2 linked regions of the Oryzias latipes genome follow. The protein of the gene in region 1 interacts with the protein of each later gene in a biochemical or structural test. Links are inferred from orthologs where the notes say so. Each region holds a gene or a part of one and is shown on either strand. Other genes may lie near its edges. The genes, in order: mitogen-activated protein kinase kinase kinase 11 and mapk8ip1.

The links.
Region 2: the proteins of mitogen-activated protein kinase kinase kinase 11 (region 1) and mapk8ip1 form a complex in vitro, tested with the Homo sapiens proteins (2 studies listed by BioGRID). The link is inferred for Oryzias latipes from reciprocal best matches to the Homo sapiens genes MAP3K11 and MAPK8IP1.

What each region holds. Positions count from the first base shown.
Region 1 is NC_019876.2:27,303,895-27,307,719, reverse strand, and holds part of mitogen-activated protein kinase kinase kinase 11, read right to left. Parts: intron 3,007-3,825; coding exon 2,890-3,006; intron 1-2,889. UniProt on the Homo sapiens protein: Activates the JUN N-terminal pathway. Required for serum-stimulated cell proliferation and for mitogen and cytokine activation of MAPK14 (p38), MAPK3 (ERK) and MAPK8 (JNK1) through phosphorylation and activation of MAP2K4/MKK4 and MAP2K7/MKK7.
Region 2 is NC_019861.2:7,558,228-7,562,276, reverse strand, and holds the end of mapk8ip1 (C-Jun-amino-terminal kinase-interacting protein 1), read left to right. Parts: intron 1-464; coding exon 465-571; intron 572-708; coding exon 709-825; intron 826-2,032; coding exon 2,033-2,103; intron 2,104-2,347; coding exon 2,348-2,446; intron 2,447-2,585; coding exon 2,586-2,658; 3' UTR 2,659-3,501; downstream 3,502-4,049. UniProt on the Homo sapiens protein: The JNK-interacting protein (JIP) group of scaffold proteins selectively mediates JNK signaling by aggregating specific components of the MAPK cascade to form a functional JNK signaling module. Required for JNK activation in response to excitotoxic stress.

The sequences.
Region 1 (3,825 bases):
CGCTGGTGATGTAGGGCACCGTAGCAATCTTTGATTTAATGTCTTTGTATGAATGTGAAAGTGCTGATTGTATTGTTTTGTGCATTGCTCTTGCTTTGATTGCTTGAAATAAACCATTTCAAATCAAATCAAAACTGTGAAAAAGAAAATGTAGTTAGCGATTAATGAGTAGAAATAGGTAATAATTAGTGTAGGCCAAACTATTGATCATATGTGATCAATTATACATTATTACAAAATAAAAGTCATGACTTTCTTCCAGAATTGTTGCTGTAGCACAAATATGATGAGTTTTCATGACTAGCTCCTATCAATGTAAACATGTATTCATTTTGGTTGTTTGAGACATTATGTATAAATGAATGCACGTTTTTTTTAATCACTTTTTCCCGAGTTTGCACTTTGCAGACAGCAGCTGTCTCACTGTCGTCTCTCTGTTAAATGTTTGTATGATATTAAAAATGTTTTCATTGCCTCTGTAGGTATTAGGGATGTCCCGCTTGGATCAGGTGATCAGAAATTGGACCCAATGCCGTTGTTGGTGGCTCAATGAAAGATGGGGTTGGGACATTTCATTTACTCTTATAATGACCCAGCACTTTATAGATCCATCTTCTTATTCCAGATAAATCCTCTACTAGACGTCTGTAGATCACGACCGGATCAGCAAGTGTCTCTATTGGGTCGTGTTAACGCAAACACAGACATGTTAGGAGAACAAAGATGAGCTTTTTGATTCTTTGTGAGGAGAACGGCTCTCTGGTGCTGCGACAGACGGAGACCCAGTGAGACGCTGCGGTATCTACACCCCTTAAGGCCAGAAGGACCTACTGTGCTAATAAAAGCTATAGCGTGATGTTCCTGCATGCTGATGCCAGGTCTGAAGAGGTTAAAACAAAGAATCCCATATTCTCTAAAAAAACAACCAAAACTAAAAAAGTCTTCCATTGATTTGAGCTACGGGTAGTCATGAAAATTCATCATCGTATTTATTCTAGAACAACGAAAATCCTTGTTCATTTTTAAGATTTTTGATGGAGATATAAATTGCATCTGATCAAAAATGTCCAATAGTTCAGAAGATACGAAGCTTCAGTCAAACTTTCTCACATGACTAATTATTATCACCAGTTTTTACTAGGTGATAGTTAACTACTAGTTGATATAGTTGAACTATTCTTACTTGATTGTTGCGGCTGCTTCAAAGTAGGGCTCTGTTAAAGATTTTAAATGTTAAAAGCAGGTTAATAAAGAAAAATAGGTCAAACCTGCATCTGTTTATTAAATTGATCAAATGTGTTACAAAAGTATCAGGACTCGGTATCCATCCATACTCAAAATCCAATGACTCGGAATCGGATCGGGACATCCCTAGGTAGCATTGAGACAAGCCAGGTTTGGAGGTATTGAGCCCGTAACTCTTTTTTTTAACGTGCCTCCTGCTGTGGCTTCCAGTAATAAAATGTTGCGATCTGTTCGCAGTGTGCAGACTTCTATTCATCTGTAATAACAAGCGTGAAATATGTGGCGCTGATCATAAAATTGAGAATAAAATACCGTTCCAATCCCTGATCGGGATACAACATCCGTTTGGGCCTGATTTTTGATCACATGACCAGATAAGTGTGATAATATCGTTGGGTGACGGCGGTCCACTTGAGGGCACTTGCATCGTTCTGTCGTACCAGACAAAAATGACTGCAGCTCTTTGGTCTGTTTGGGTTTCTGTCCTCTTGGGTTTGGCAGCAGGAAAAACGAACGGGAGCAGGTCTAAATAAAGAGGAACCGACTGAATCTAATCCTGCCCGCGCAGACAGGAAGTTAATAAATAAATAATCGGGAGAAACATCTATATGCTGCCAAACGCATATGACACAGCAGGCCAGCTGGGATTCAAAATGTGCTAACTAATACAACCTCTGGGTCCATTAATTCCATAAAAATAGCATTTTCTTGTTATCTAATTTAGCAGAATGTGGTACAATGGAACTGAGCTCAGCAAACTCCTGCTAATCAAGTTGGCAGTTCCCAAGACAAATATGTTTGGTAAGCCCCGAAGATAAATCACTGCATGCGACTATGAGGGCAAGCATAAATATCCACTAAACACATTTTAATGACAGGCGCACTCGTGGCTTAGTGACTGCCATTAAGGAGAGTCATTAGGAAGTGCGGAAGACTAGCCTGCTACCTCACAAGGCCGGCCGATGTCTGGCATTTACTTCTACAAACTGCACTCTTGTTTTTTTTTTCTGCTCCATTTTGTCAAATCCCTTTTACTGCCTGCGTCTACACGACAAATTTCTTTTGTCCCTTTGTTAGGAGGCACTGTGGAGAATCCCCGCTGCACAGAAGGACCTGGGGACATTTCTGTGAGATCCCGGCAAAAAAGCAGAGGAGATATTGTAAATCTGTGTGACCGCTGCAACCCTTCTTAACCCCATCTCACACAGCAATGAATTCCACCCTGCTTATTTTTAATTCAGTCAACCGCACCGCTGCTGCAGGCTTATGAAACCGTTCGTGCCCGAGTCCCGCGGTCACATGTCTCCCCCTGCTGCTGCAGTCAGGGAACTGCACACAGGAGCAGCAAAGGGGGTCTGAAATGGAAAAAAGGGCTGAGAGGAAGTCAGATAATATTTGGACTGGAACGGACTATTGAAAGGGAAAAGGGTGTGTGAGAGAGGGACAGAGCAGGGAGGGAAGAGACGGGGAGCGTGGGGCCCAGCAGGAAACGATGGGAGACAAAAGACGAGTGGGTGGTTGAGAGAACAGATCAAGAATCGGTCATCCAAGCTCTGCTGCCACAGCTTTCTACACGCATCTCCACCTTCGAATTGAAGCACTCAGTCCTGTAAAGTCAGTCCGCATGATGAGATCCGGACTCACGTTGGATTGCGCGAAAACGTGGGCCGAAGGAAGGCGAGGAGCCCGAACCCAAATCCGGAGAGTTCCTCCTCTTTTCCAGGCCTGGGGAGGCCTGCACTGTGATTTTATGGATGAAATCTGCAAAAAGGATGGAAAGAAAAAGAATACAGTCATTCTACTGTCACGTTTCTTCTTCTACAATGCAGAGCAGTGGTCCACAACCGTATTCAGGCCGTGGGCCGGTTTCATGTCAGACAACATTTTCCTGGACTGGCCAGTTCCAGGCGTCTGATTTTGTCTTCTAGCTTTTGAGGTTAAAGTTTACCTTCATTCTCTGTCAAATATCTTTAAACTTTATTTGTACTATAGATTTTGTGTAGGAGCCATTTGAACGTGACCCATAAAAAGTGGAAGATAAAAACAACTTTATTAGCAGCATCCATAATGGTTTATGGGAACAAATGTCCCAATAATTCCATGGTCTCAGTAAAGTCTCAGTAAAGATTTCTTTTATTTTGAAGTCAAAGGGTCTTCTTCTGTTTCCTTTTCTGCTAAAAGAAACTTTGCTGAAACATTTGTTTGTTAACTTTGCTAACTTCTTTAAGAGCGTAGCGGTTGGATTTTTGACTTGTGGCCGAGCGACTTGACGTGGACGTGGTGGAGAGAAACCGGTAGTTTTTCAAAACAAGGCGTCCTTCAGAATCAGATTTTCAAATAAAGAGTTTCTGAGGCAGGTTCTGCTTTTAGTTCTGACTTCCAGTAGCAAGTTACAGAACCAAAAAATGTGTGTCGCTAAACAATTTCAATATACGTTAAAGTTTTCACGGTACTCTGAAAAAACCCTGCAGCTACTTGATCCTCCTTATCCAACGGTCTTACTTGAAAACCTCACAAACATTTGCTTCAGGTCAATACTGTGCTATGTTCTAAAACGCACGCCTGGGTCCCGACAAGGCG
Region 2 (4,049 bases), on another chromosome or scaffold:
GGTTTGAATCCTGCCTTGAATCCTGCCTTTCTGTCTGGAGTTTGCATGTGCTCCTTGTGCATGCACAGGTTTTCTTCTGGCTTTTCTCTGGCACAGGCCAAAAAACATGCTTCATATGTTAATTGGTATCTCTAAATTAACCTCAAGTGTGAGCGTGTGGCCCTGCAGCAGACTGGGGACCTGTCCAGAGTGGAGCCCACTCCCGCCAAACATTAGCCAAGTTGGCTCCAGCAGTCTCATGACCCCAAAATGGATTCAGTGGGTTCAGAAGAGGGATGGATTAAAAACAAACAAACAGAAGTATCATTTTCAAAATCAACCAGCAAGCCTCTTTGTTTATCCCAAACTATGAGTGAAGCTGATGAATTGTTAAATACATTTGTCTTGAAGAATTTTTAATGCCTTTTTGATTTATAATAAACCCTTTTTATGTGTCATGTTATTGACTTATTATTTGTCTACAGTGATAAAGAGCGATGAATGGATAGAGAGATATCACCTGAAGTTCCTGGGATCAGTTCAAGTGCCCTATCACAAAGGAAACGATGTCCTGTGTGCAGCTATGCAGAAGGTAGATGGGCTGCGTTTGCATGTGTGTCCTTTCAAATTTGAAAAAACTGCTGCATGTCATGTAGAGCAATTCAACCTGCTGAGAGAAACAGATACACAGTTTTAACACTTTTTGAAATCGCCTTTCATATTTTTTAGATCGCCACCAACAGAAGGATGACAGTGAAATACAACCCCCCTTCCTCCTGCATCCTGGAGATCAGTGTCAAAGGCATCAAGCTTGCTGTTCAAGAAGATTACTATGCCTCTGACAGAGTAAGAGTCTGACTATTCCTTCTTTTCTCTAACTGGAATACAGTAGCTACATGATTTTAAGATCTAGATTGATGAAAAGTAATCAAAGGTTGAAGTCAGTTTGTGAAAAAACTGTAAACTGCAAAATCGCAAGACTAAAATGCGAGCGGCAGATTTCGAACCGGCGAGATTTTGCACCACAAAAAGAAGAAAAGGTTTTCAAATATGTATGTATCTCAATCGAGGCAAAAATCCTGGAATATCTTGAAAAGTTCAAGGACTTGAAGGACCAAAAGTTATTCCTGGACATTTTAGGAGTTGAATGGTTAAAATAGCTGAACAATTGTAGGAGTTAAGTGCCCAAAAATGGCGGAAGATACAACAATCGGTGTAATTGTTTTTGCATTCAACCAATAAAAGGATTATATAAAACTGTGTGTGTGTGTGAATATATAATATATGATGTGTGTGTGGGTGTGTGTGTGTGTGTGTATATGCGTTTATGTGTGTGTTGAACAGGTTGTAAAACAGTTTGCTAGTGGCTACAAACCAAAACTACAACTAATGTTATCTTTTACAAACGCTTTAACTTTTCAAGTGTTATTTAAAACACTGTATCATGAACTGAATTTTTATTTTGAATAAGACATTTTAAATAAATTGTATCTAAAAAGGATAATGGCTTTACTTTTATATATTTTGGGGTAGTGTAACATTGAGAACTACGGTGACCCTGAATTGCAAGCCACACCAACAAAATTCTCAATGCAAAAAAATATTAAAGATCCCAACGACAAATAAAAAAGCAAAACAAATAATGATAAGAAAAAAAACACATTACATATTTCGAAACAAATTTACAGAAACCAAAACACAATTCCAAAGAAATGATGAAAAATAAAAAGTGTAAATAATTTTTCGGAATTATATTTGGAAAATAATAAATACTTAATTTCCAGTAATCAAAATAAAATGTCAGAAAAATGAAACACAATCAGAAACGTGAAAAGGTTGGTACTATGGGACTTAGCTGATTGAATGACGATGTTTACGTTTTTTTAAATCTCATCTTCAATGTCCTCATATTGATAAAAGTGTTTTAATAAGTATCTTTGTACTTATCACTTCATTCCAAATTTACATTGATAATAACAACAGAAATATCAAACTCTTAAAATGTTAACTTTTGTCTCTGTTTTTTGTTCTGCTTCCTGGGTCTTGTTTACAGAGTAATGAGGGCAGCCACTTTTTCCAGTTAAAGAACGTCTCTTTTTGTGGTTATCATCCAAAAAACTGCAAGTGAGTAAAAAGCTGTTATATTTTCCAACTCTGCTCTTGTTTTGTGTGCAGGGACATATGCTTCCCACAAGGTGTCAGTAGAATCAAAGGGTGTTTCATGTCTGCAATTGAACCACTGACTTCTGGCTTTTAATTTAAAATGCAGTAAAAAAATCACATTACTGTTGACTAAATTCAACAATTTCCTTGTTCTAATGTCTATTCAATTTATTCTAATTCTACTATCTTTCTTTCTCTCTATTAGATATTTTGGTTTCATCACTAAGCACCCAGCAGACCAGAGATTTGCCTGCCATGTTTTTGTTTCTGAAAACTCCACCAAACCTCTGGCGGATTCAGTGGGGTGAGTACGGTTTTTGACACCTATATGTTCACATTTAAAGCTCTTAATAAATTCTTAATTTTTTCTTAAAAAGTAAATTGTGTGATTTCAAGTTAAATCATTTGATTTGATTTGGTTTTTTTTGTTTTGTTTTTTCCAGGAAAGCCTTTCAGTTGTACTACAAGGAATATGTGGAATTCTCTTGTCCCACGGAGGACATTTACCTGGAATAACTGCGAGGGTGTTCAATGCTGTATCATAGCAAAACAACAAAAGAAAACAACTTACTGATGACGATGATGTGTATTCAACTTTTTTTTTACGACCGATCCCCTGCAGCAGAACCGCTGATCACTGAAGCAAGCGCAGGCCAGGAACTTCTGATTCTCCAGTTAATTTCCTGAATTTAATATGTTGATTTTGGAAAAAGAGGAGCTCATGCTCTTTGCTTGATCTACAACTTGTAAGGCGAGAGTAACATAGAAGTTTCATGGCAGATTACTCCACAAATATTTGGGCTCTTTCATGAAAAAATGCTATTATAGTCAGATATAGTGGTGAAAAATGACTGCAACGCTGAAAGATACTTAACTTTTACTAATTTCTGTTTCTAGAGATGGTCTTTATTAAACCAAACTTCTTAATTATTTAAATATATTTATAGATGTATTTTTATATCTTACTTTATTTTGTTTTTATCATGACTATAGCCCACATCCCTGAAATAAAAACTGGTTGCATTTATTAATTTTGATTTATATTGGTTAACAAGTATTTTCTGTAGCCTCTAAACTGATCTACATTTTTTTTTGTTATGGTCCCTTTTAATATAAAAATAACAAAACTTTAGGAAGTCATCTGAAGAAAGCCATTTTATTCTCATAATGAGAAAACAATGATGCCTGCATGAGGAAATATGCTGCAGGGAGGGCTATGCCTTGTGTAAATAGTTCAGCATTTAAAGTTTATTACAATGTAATGACTCAATATTTGTTGTGTACAAATCCTTTTTGTTTTTGATTGTTTTTTCTTTTACCTTTCAGTAGTCATGAGTAAATGGTTTTGATGCAGACTGAGTCTTTTGTTATCACTGGATTCATTTACAAATGAACACAAAAACCTTTTTTATGATCAAATAGCTCACAACTTCTCTATGTTAGCTTCTGTTCATGTAAAGAAATTTTTTAAGAGAAGTAAAAATTGGGATTTCAGAGTTTTAAAAAAAGTTTAGAAAAAAAGGGTTTATCAGTTCGCATAAATTGCAGTGTCTGACTTTATTTCACGTGTTACTAACAAGGCTTGGAGTTAGCGCAATCACAGTAACGTTTCTTTTAGCTGTATTATTTGGTTTCTTTACAAGGTTGGGAGTTGCAGGTTTTGTAAAAACACAAACACAGCTAAAGCTTTTAAAGTGGCTAATGTGTAGCGTATTAAAAACAAGATCTAAAATTTTTGTAAAATGTTAAAAGCACCAAAGTCTGGCACCCTTTCTACTCTCACTTCCCGCTCTGAAAGTTGTGTGCTGTTGCAAGCAAGCAGCTTGAAAAAGCAAGTTAAGGTTTTACCACAAACACAGGAAGACAGCGGTTAAACCTAGAAACGGTTTCTCACTTAGACCTTAGTT